2 linked regions of the Saccharomyces cerevisiae S288C genome follow. The protein of the gene in region 2 purifies or fractionates together with the protein of the main gene of each other region. This does not show direct contact. Each region holds a gene or a part of one and is shown on either strand. Other genes may lie near its edges.

Evidence for each region.
Region 1: the proteins of PEX29 (region 2) and CDC19 purify together in Saccharomyces cerevisiae (affinity purification with mass spectrometry, with the first as the bait; 2 studies listed by BioGRID). This does not show direct contact.

What each region holds. Positions count from the first base shown.
Region 1 is NC_001133.9:70,002-73,839, reverse strand, and holds CDC19 (pyruvate kinase CDC19), read right to left. Parts: upstream 2,055-3,838; coding exon 552-2,054; downstream 1-551. Other genes in the region: YAL037C-A (uncharacterized protein), read left to right, coding at 322-414.
Region 2 is NC_001136.10:1,414,710-1,418,705, reverse strand, and holds PEX29 (Pex29p), read left to right. Parts: upstream 1-1,831; coding exon 1,832-3,496; downstream 3,497-3,996. Other genes in the region: alkaline phosphatase PHO8, read left to right, coding at 1-156; DIG2 (Dig2p), read right to left, coding at 336-1,307; SNM1 (Snm1p), read right to left, coding at 3,535-3,996. UniProt on the Saccharomyces cerevisiae protein: Involved in the regulation of peroxisome number, size and distribution.

The sequences.
Region 1 (3,838 bases), on a different chromosome or scaffold from region 2:
TATCGTTTCTGATAAGAGGATCAATCCTTTGAAATCTTGAAACGCGAATAAATTTAGGACACTAATTGAATCTGCCCGCGTCATTTTTTATAAAAAATAGATTAAACCACCAAACGAAGGCCAGAAGCTGAACATAGTTCACTGGCATCTGCATTTATGTACCCATGTATAACCTTCCAAGTTAGTTCTTGGGAAACGAAAATTATATTGAATTTTTTATTGAATTTTTAGCGTATCCTTTCGCCATCCTGATAATCATGATAACCTTGAGGGAAGATTATCTTGCGATGGGAGGGATCAAATTTAGCAAATTTTGACTCTATGTCAATCTCGTTTCCAAAAATGCAACACCTCATCGTTATGACGACAATTGGAGACAAAAAGGTTAACAATAACATAATACTCTTTTTATAGAATACCTTATAAAATGTATGTTATTTAAGTAACTTATAAATCTTTATTTGAGTTGAAAAGAAAAACCATGTCTTTATATAAAATTTAAAAAATATAATTCAAAAAAATAATATCTTCATTCAATCATGATTCTTTTTTTAAACGGTAGAGACTTGCAAAGTGTTGGAGTGACCAGCACCGGCCTTGAAACCTTGGATGGAAACGTAAGTGTCACCCTTCTTCAAGATACCGAATTCCTTAGCCTTTTCAATACCGAAGTTGATACGGGCTTCAACATCATCAGTCCAGTCAGAGACAGGTTCCTTTTCGAAAACGAATGGGAAGACACCTCTGTACAAGTGAGAGAATCTAGCAGCTCTTGGGCATCTGGTAACCAAGATGATTGGACAGTTTGGTCTGTACTTGGAAACCAATCTTGGGGTGGTACCGGAAGTGGACAAGACAATGATAGCCTTGGCCTTTTGTTCGAAAACAGCAGCGACAGCGGAGGCAGCGACGGTTTCGGTGGTGGAGGTTGGCTTTGGAGTACAGTTTCTCATGTCATCGTAGTTTGGCAAGTAAGCGATAGCTTGTTCAGCAATGACAGCGGTTTCAGCCATAGTGGTAACGGCGTTGATTGGGTAGTTACCCTTGGCGGTTTCACCAGACAACATAACACAGTCAGCACCATCCAAGATAGCGTTACCGACATCGGAAACTTCAGCTCTGGTTGGTCTTGGGTTGTAAGTCATGGATTCCAACATTTGGGTAGCACAGATAACTGGCTTACCAGCCAAGTTAGACTTAGCAATCAATTTCTTTTGGACAGCCAAGACTTCTGGGGCTGGGATTTCAATACCCAAGTCACCTCTGGCAACCATAACACCGTCAGTGACCTTCAAGATTTCGTCGAAGTTGTTAACACCTTGTTGGTTTTCAATCTTGACAATGATCTTGACGTCCTTACCTTGTTCACCCAAGACTTCTCTGATGGTCAAAACATCGTTGGCGGTTCTGATGAAAGAAGCGAAGACCATGTGGACACCGTTCTTGACACCGAATCTCAAATCTTCCTTGTCCTTTTCAGACAAAGCTGGCAAATCGACATCGGTACCTGGTAAGTTGACACCCTTGTGGGAACAGATCTTACCGGCGTTCAAAGCCTTGACCTTCAAAGTCTTGTCGTCAACGACTTCCAAAACTTGGAAAGACAAAACACCATCATCAACGTAGATGATTCTACCAGCGGAGATGACCTTGGTGATGTTCTTGTAGTCAACGTACATGATCTTGTCGTCACAAGCCTTAGCGTACTTGTCATCGGTGGTGAAGATCATTTCGTGGTTTGGTGGGATTGGGTAGTCAACATCGTTGGTGGTGGTACCAGTTCTGATTTCTGGACCCTTGGTGTCCAAAGCAATGGCCAATGGTCTACCTGGGTACAATTCTTCGGACTTTCTGGCGTTGTCAATGACAGACTTGTGGTATTCGTAAGAACCGTGAGAGAAGTTCATACGGACAATGTTCAAACCAGCCTTTCTCAAAGCAACCAAGGTTTCTGGGTTGTTGGTCTTTGGACCGATGGTACCAATGATGGAGGTTCTTCTCAAGTCAGAACCAGCAACAACGTTTAATGAGGTCAATCTTTCTAATCTAGACATTGTGATGATGTTTTATTTGTTTTGATTGGTGTCTTGTAAATAGAAACAAGAGAGAATAATAAACAAGTTAAGAATAAAAAACCAAAGGATGAAAAAGAATGAATATGAAAAAGAGTAGAGAATAACTTTGAAAGGGGACCATGATATAACTGGAAAAAAGAGGTTCTTGGAAATGAAAAGTTACCAAAGAGTATTTATAATTCAGAAAAAAAAGCCAACGAATATCGTTTTGATGGCGAGCCTTTTTTTTTTTTTAGGAAGACACTAAAGGTACCTAGCATCATATGGGAAGGAAAGGAAATCACTTGGAAGACATCACAAGCATTCATTTACCAAGAGAAAAAATATGCATTTTAGCTAAGATCCATTGAACAAAGCACTCACTCAACTCAACTGAATGAACGAAAGAAGAAAGAACAGTAGAAAACACTTTGTGACGGTGCGGAACACATTTACGTAGCTATCATGCTGAATTCTACTATGAAAATCTCCCAATCTGTCGATGGCAAAACGACCCACGTGGCAGAGTTGGGTCAAGTGCCAGTTTCTGGATTAAGTAACAGATACAGACATCACACGCCATAGAGGAATCCCGCCGTTGCGAGAGATGGAAAACAATAGAGCCGAAATTGTGGAAGCCCGATGTCTGGGTGTACATTTTTTTTTTTTCTTTCTTTCTCTTTCAATAATCTTTCCTTTTTCCATTTAGCTTGCCGGAAAAACTTTCGGGTAGCGAAAATCTTTCTGCCGGAAAAATTAGCTATTTTTTTCTTCCTTATTATTTTTTTAGTTCTGAAGTTTGACCAGGGCGCTACCCTGACCGTATCACAACCGACGATCCGGGGTCATGGCGGCTATTTTTTTTTTTTTTTTTTTTTTCCTTGTGATTGTTTATTTACATTTGGATCAATTCTAACAAAAAAAAAATAAGGGGGGAAAAATAATTCACCTCTTTTTAATATTGTTTTGTACTGAGATTAATCTCCAAAATACTAGCATTGACACACATCTCAAGTCATCTCAAATAAAGTCGGAAAACCCCCCCTTTCCAAATAATTGAGGTGACGTTGCCATGAACAGGGAAGCAGAATTTGATTCGAAGACTAAGACCAAGCATACCCATTCTCATTTGGTCCTTTCTTTATTTTTACTTCAACTCCCTTAACGTTCGGAGAAAAACTCTGGTTATTCTTCATGCGATATAATTGGCGAAAAAAATCTTGTCTCATACGTAAAAAGTATTAAAAAAATTGCCCATTTTGTGCCCGCAGACAACTGCAACCTATCTTCAAAAGCCGAAAAGGAGGTTTTCTTCTTATTCGCTGGACAGACCCTCTTTTTTGCTGTTGCTTTATTTTTTATGTTTAGAAACAAAATTTCCCCGAGAGAAAGGGAAAATATGTGGAAAAAGAAAAAGCACTTCCTTACCAAACGTCATTCCATCCATGAAATACTTGGCCGATTGAACTTTTCATTTGGTCCAAATATGGAAGTGATAAACGATCTTACTCCAACGTAGATAAAACATTGATAGTAGCCCTAACTGATATTATGGCAAGTCGGCCACACCGCTCATTAGGACAATTCCTTTTTTTCCTTTTTTTTTCTTCTCACTTTTCGGCTATCGGAGCCTTTGATTTAATCGCCGGTGCCTACGTCTTTGGTGTGTATCATATCGGTCTTGAGTCCCATACTACATGCTCTGCTAATAATAGTCATGCAAGTAATAAAGGTAATTTATGGTGAGGGAGGCTTAGGAATATCTAATACTAAGTGCCTAAAAC
Region 2 (3,996 bases):
GAAGTTGGCCAGTTCTTAGAAAACTTTTTAGAATTGAACCTGAACGAAGTCACTGATTTGATTAGGGACACCAAACACACATCAGATTTTGATGCTACAGAAATAGCTAGTGAAGTACAACATTATGACGAATACTACCATGAGTTGACCAACTGATCCTATCTAACTCTCCCTCTTTTTTCACATATTATTTAATACGTTATAATTTATTTGAATATATATATATATATATATATGTATATATACTAACCGCATGACACGTACTGTATCGCATTTCGTTTCGGAGTGCAGGCGAGTTTTAGGTGCATTCTATAGCGTGAAGAAGTGAAATCTCGTCATTTCTTCAAGTTATGCCATTCAGTCCAGATTGTTTCACATGCTTTCATATAGTCATTTTTGTCGTCGCGAACTTCAAATTTGAAAACATCATCATACAGAGAGATTTCTCCAATAATGATCCTTTCTTTGTCGTTGTCATCATCGGCATCGTCGTTAAGTGAAGCGCCCTCACTTAATGAATTTTTCGTGACAGAGCATTCAATGTCTTCATCAGTCTTACTTATGATTGGGTCTCCGTTGTGGTGTTTGGAGACAAAGGTTCTTTTTCTCGATGTCAAATCTTCCAAGTGTGGTGATCTACCAGCCAACTTCTTCCTCTTTGCATGGTAGTCGGCTGGTATTATACCATTATTATACAAGGGGCCGGGATACATCGGGGAATAATAGCCTTCGTATGCGTGCGTTTGTGTTGGAGTTGAAGAATATGGGTAGCATGGTACTGGTGGCAGTCCAGTATATGGATAAGGGTAGGTTGCTGTCATATATGAATTGGCCACTGAAGGATGATAATCTTGATTCGTAGGAGCCATCCTACCCATATATCTGACCCTAAGGCTATTTTTGTGCTGCGGAAATCTTGTTATGTTTGGTGGAGCACTTTTAGATCCATGCAAATGAGAAGATGCTTGTATATCGGAAAAATTTAGCGCTGGAGGTACCCTTTTCCTCTTTAAAGAATGATTCAGCGACTTAAAGGGTACGGTTTTCTCTGCTGGAGAAGTCGTAATGGTAGGAGGCTTACCACTATGATCTTCCTCTTTTTGCGACAGCCTAGATATGAGCAATTTTTGATTTTTTTCGATATCCCTGGATTTTTTGATCTTCGAAATCATTTTCTCACTCAATCTGTCTTCATCAAGCCCTGGAGATACTAACAGCATTCCCAGTTGCTGCAAATTCCTGGGATCATTTTCCTGAACAGTTGATATTTGCTCTTGCTGTGGGTCTTCTTGCTCTTCTTTATTCATAATTTTCCCTCTTTGCTTAAATATTCCTGCAGGCTTAACTATACCACATAAATACCACTGCAAGCAATAGAAATGAAAAATAACATTAATAACCAAAATTTAAATGGCTGTATGTTTATTGTTTATTTGATCTGCACATTATGTAATTATTGATAATTTAATAGACGTGTCCGCCGGGTGATGAAGCTGTGACATATCACAATTTTATGTGTACCTGTTGTATGTATACGCTCTAATGTCCGATATCATCATACGTGCATCACTTTGTAGCCTTCTAGGATGGCGTCTAGGTGAATACCGCCGTAGTGTTTAGGAAACTAATGTTATGGGTGGTTGTTGTTTCACTATCCAGTAATACTTTTGTGGTGAACTTAAGAAGCTTAGGGGTTACCCCTTCTTCTTGAACTAATTTTAAGAAATAACAACGAGGAATAGTGTGTATTTTTAATTACTGATCAGGCCGCATGAATATACTCACCTGTATACGTAGCAAAATTTCAGTCTCCTACTGTATATACGTCTAGATGGACTCGGTGACAAATTTTTTCTGGAATGACACCTATAATGCTGGTACTCCAACTAGATCAACTCTCAAGGGGAAGAAAGTGCAAAATGGCATAGATGGAAAAAGTCAGGCAAAGAAAGAGAGCATATCTAGTGGTTCTAGAACTAGTGATCCTACACGTGGTAGTCTGCCATCTTCCAGTGGACAGCCAACTAGTGGTGGCGGTTTTCCCTCGACATCAAACATCCAAAAGATGATGGCAGATACCCTGGTAGAGAAGATAATCAAAATGGCATTACCACCATCTTCCAAAACGGCTGTTGATACAATTCACCATCGTATGGTTGCTGGTAAAGAAAGGCCTAAGCTGTCTGTGCAGATCACGAGTAGGAATTTTATACAGATGAACTCGAGACTAGGGGTACCATTCATGATTATGGATGAATTAATAAAGATATTAAACTGGACTAACCCAGCGTATACAGTATCTATCATGTTCTTATACACGCTCATTATATTGAAACCTTTTCAAATGCTTTCTTCGCTCCCTATATTCTATTTGTTATTCTGCGTAATGGTCCCGCAATACCTTTACATTCATAAGCCAAACCCTACAAGCTATCTAGATAATAATCAAACACCAGCACAAGGCCCACCTTTGCGAAGACCTGAGGTTCCTAAACCAGTCCCTGAACTGAGCCAAGAATTTGTCTTAAACCTCACGGATTTACAAAACCATATGCTGCTATATGTTAAATTCTACGATTTTACTTTACTCATATTACAAAAGTTTGCATTCTTCACCAACGAGGCTATTTCGTCGTTTTATTTTATTGTATTGTTAATAATAGCAACATTAAATTTTCTGTACATGGATAAATTTATCAAGCTCATTCCAATGAGACCCGTACTGATACTGCTAGGTTGGGGTTTTTTTATTGCCTCGCATCCGTCCAATCGTGAATATTTGTTGACTAAATTGAATTCGGAGGAGACAAGATTAAAAACTTTGACTATAAGTACTAATCTGGAATCTAAGATTTTGCAGCATTTGAAACTCATTGAGGCTAGGGAGCACCGACTTGTTATGATCTTTGAGATCCAAAAGTATCTTCCTGAATACAAAGAATGGCGCCCAGTTGGATTCTCTGATGACGATTATTCTCTTTTCTCTAGTTTGAGAATATACCAGAGGCGTATTGAGGAAAATTCAGTGAAGTCATTAGAAGAAATTGAGCCACCTAAGGATTGGGAATGGGAAGCCAATTCTCATTGGGTGCTTGATTTGGATCCAAAAGAATGGGTAGAGGACGAATTTATTCAGTATGTCGAGATAGATTCAGAAACAAAATGGGTCTATGACCTCAATCTTGATGGACAAAGGGGCTCATATAGAAGGCGAATGTGGACCAACAGTTGCGTGCGGAAAAAACTGGATTCTGGTATTTCTTCAAACCTTGGTGAGGAGGAAGTAGTTAATCCATTGAGGGAAGAAACATATAGGCAAGGCGTACATGGCGTGACGAAGGGTTCAATGAGTGGCGGTCTAACTCACAGTAGTGATGATGACCGCGCTGATGAGGAAAGTATAAACGGTACTATTCCTAATCTCAACAATATCGACGCGGATGCATCTTATCCGTCAATCGAAGAGCTAACAGACACTCTCAATTCAACTATATAAACTTGATTTGTTATACTATATGTTCACTGATGATACAGTCAACTTTTCATAAAACTTTCTAATGACAGTGACGAACTTTTCTTCTTTTCCATTTTTTTCTCTTGATTTCTTTTCGATAAAAGGTTTGTAAGTGAGTTCAACTTTCTCTTCTTGGATCTCTCCTTACCAGTACTAGTTTTACTCTTTTGGGGCTTCTTTACCGCGTACGAAACCTTCCCGCTGCTGGTACTATTGATCATCGGACTAACATCTTGTCCAAATGTTGGAACAACGAACTCAGATTTCCACTCAAACAATTTAGACTTTTCACAATTCAAGCAATTAACCTGGATACATTTTTTTGGTCCTTCCATACTCTCGCCGCCAAGTTCGTCGGAGTCACCTTGCTCGGTATTAGTCGTTAACTGAAGACTTGCGTTAAAATTAGGAACGTAAACACACCCGCAATGGGAGCAAAATTTCCCACTTTTCAGTTGTTCTGGCAGCATGATTTGATATCG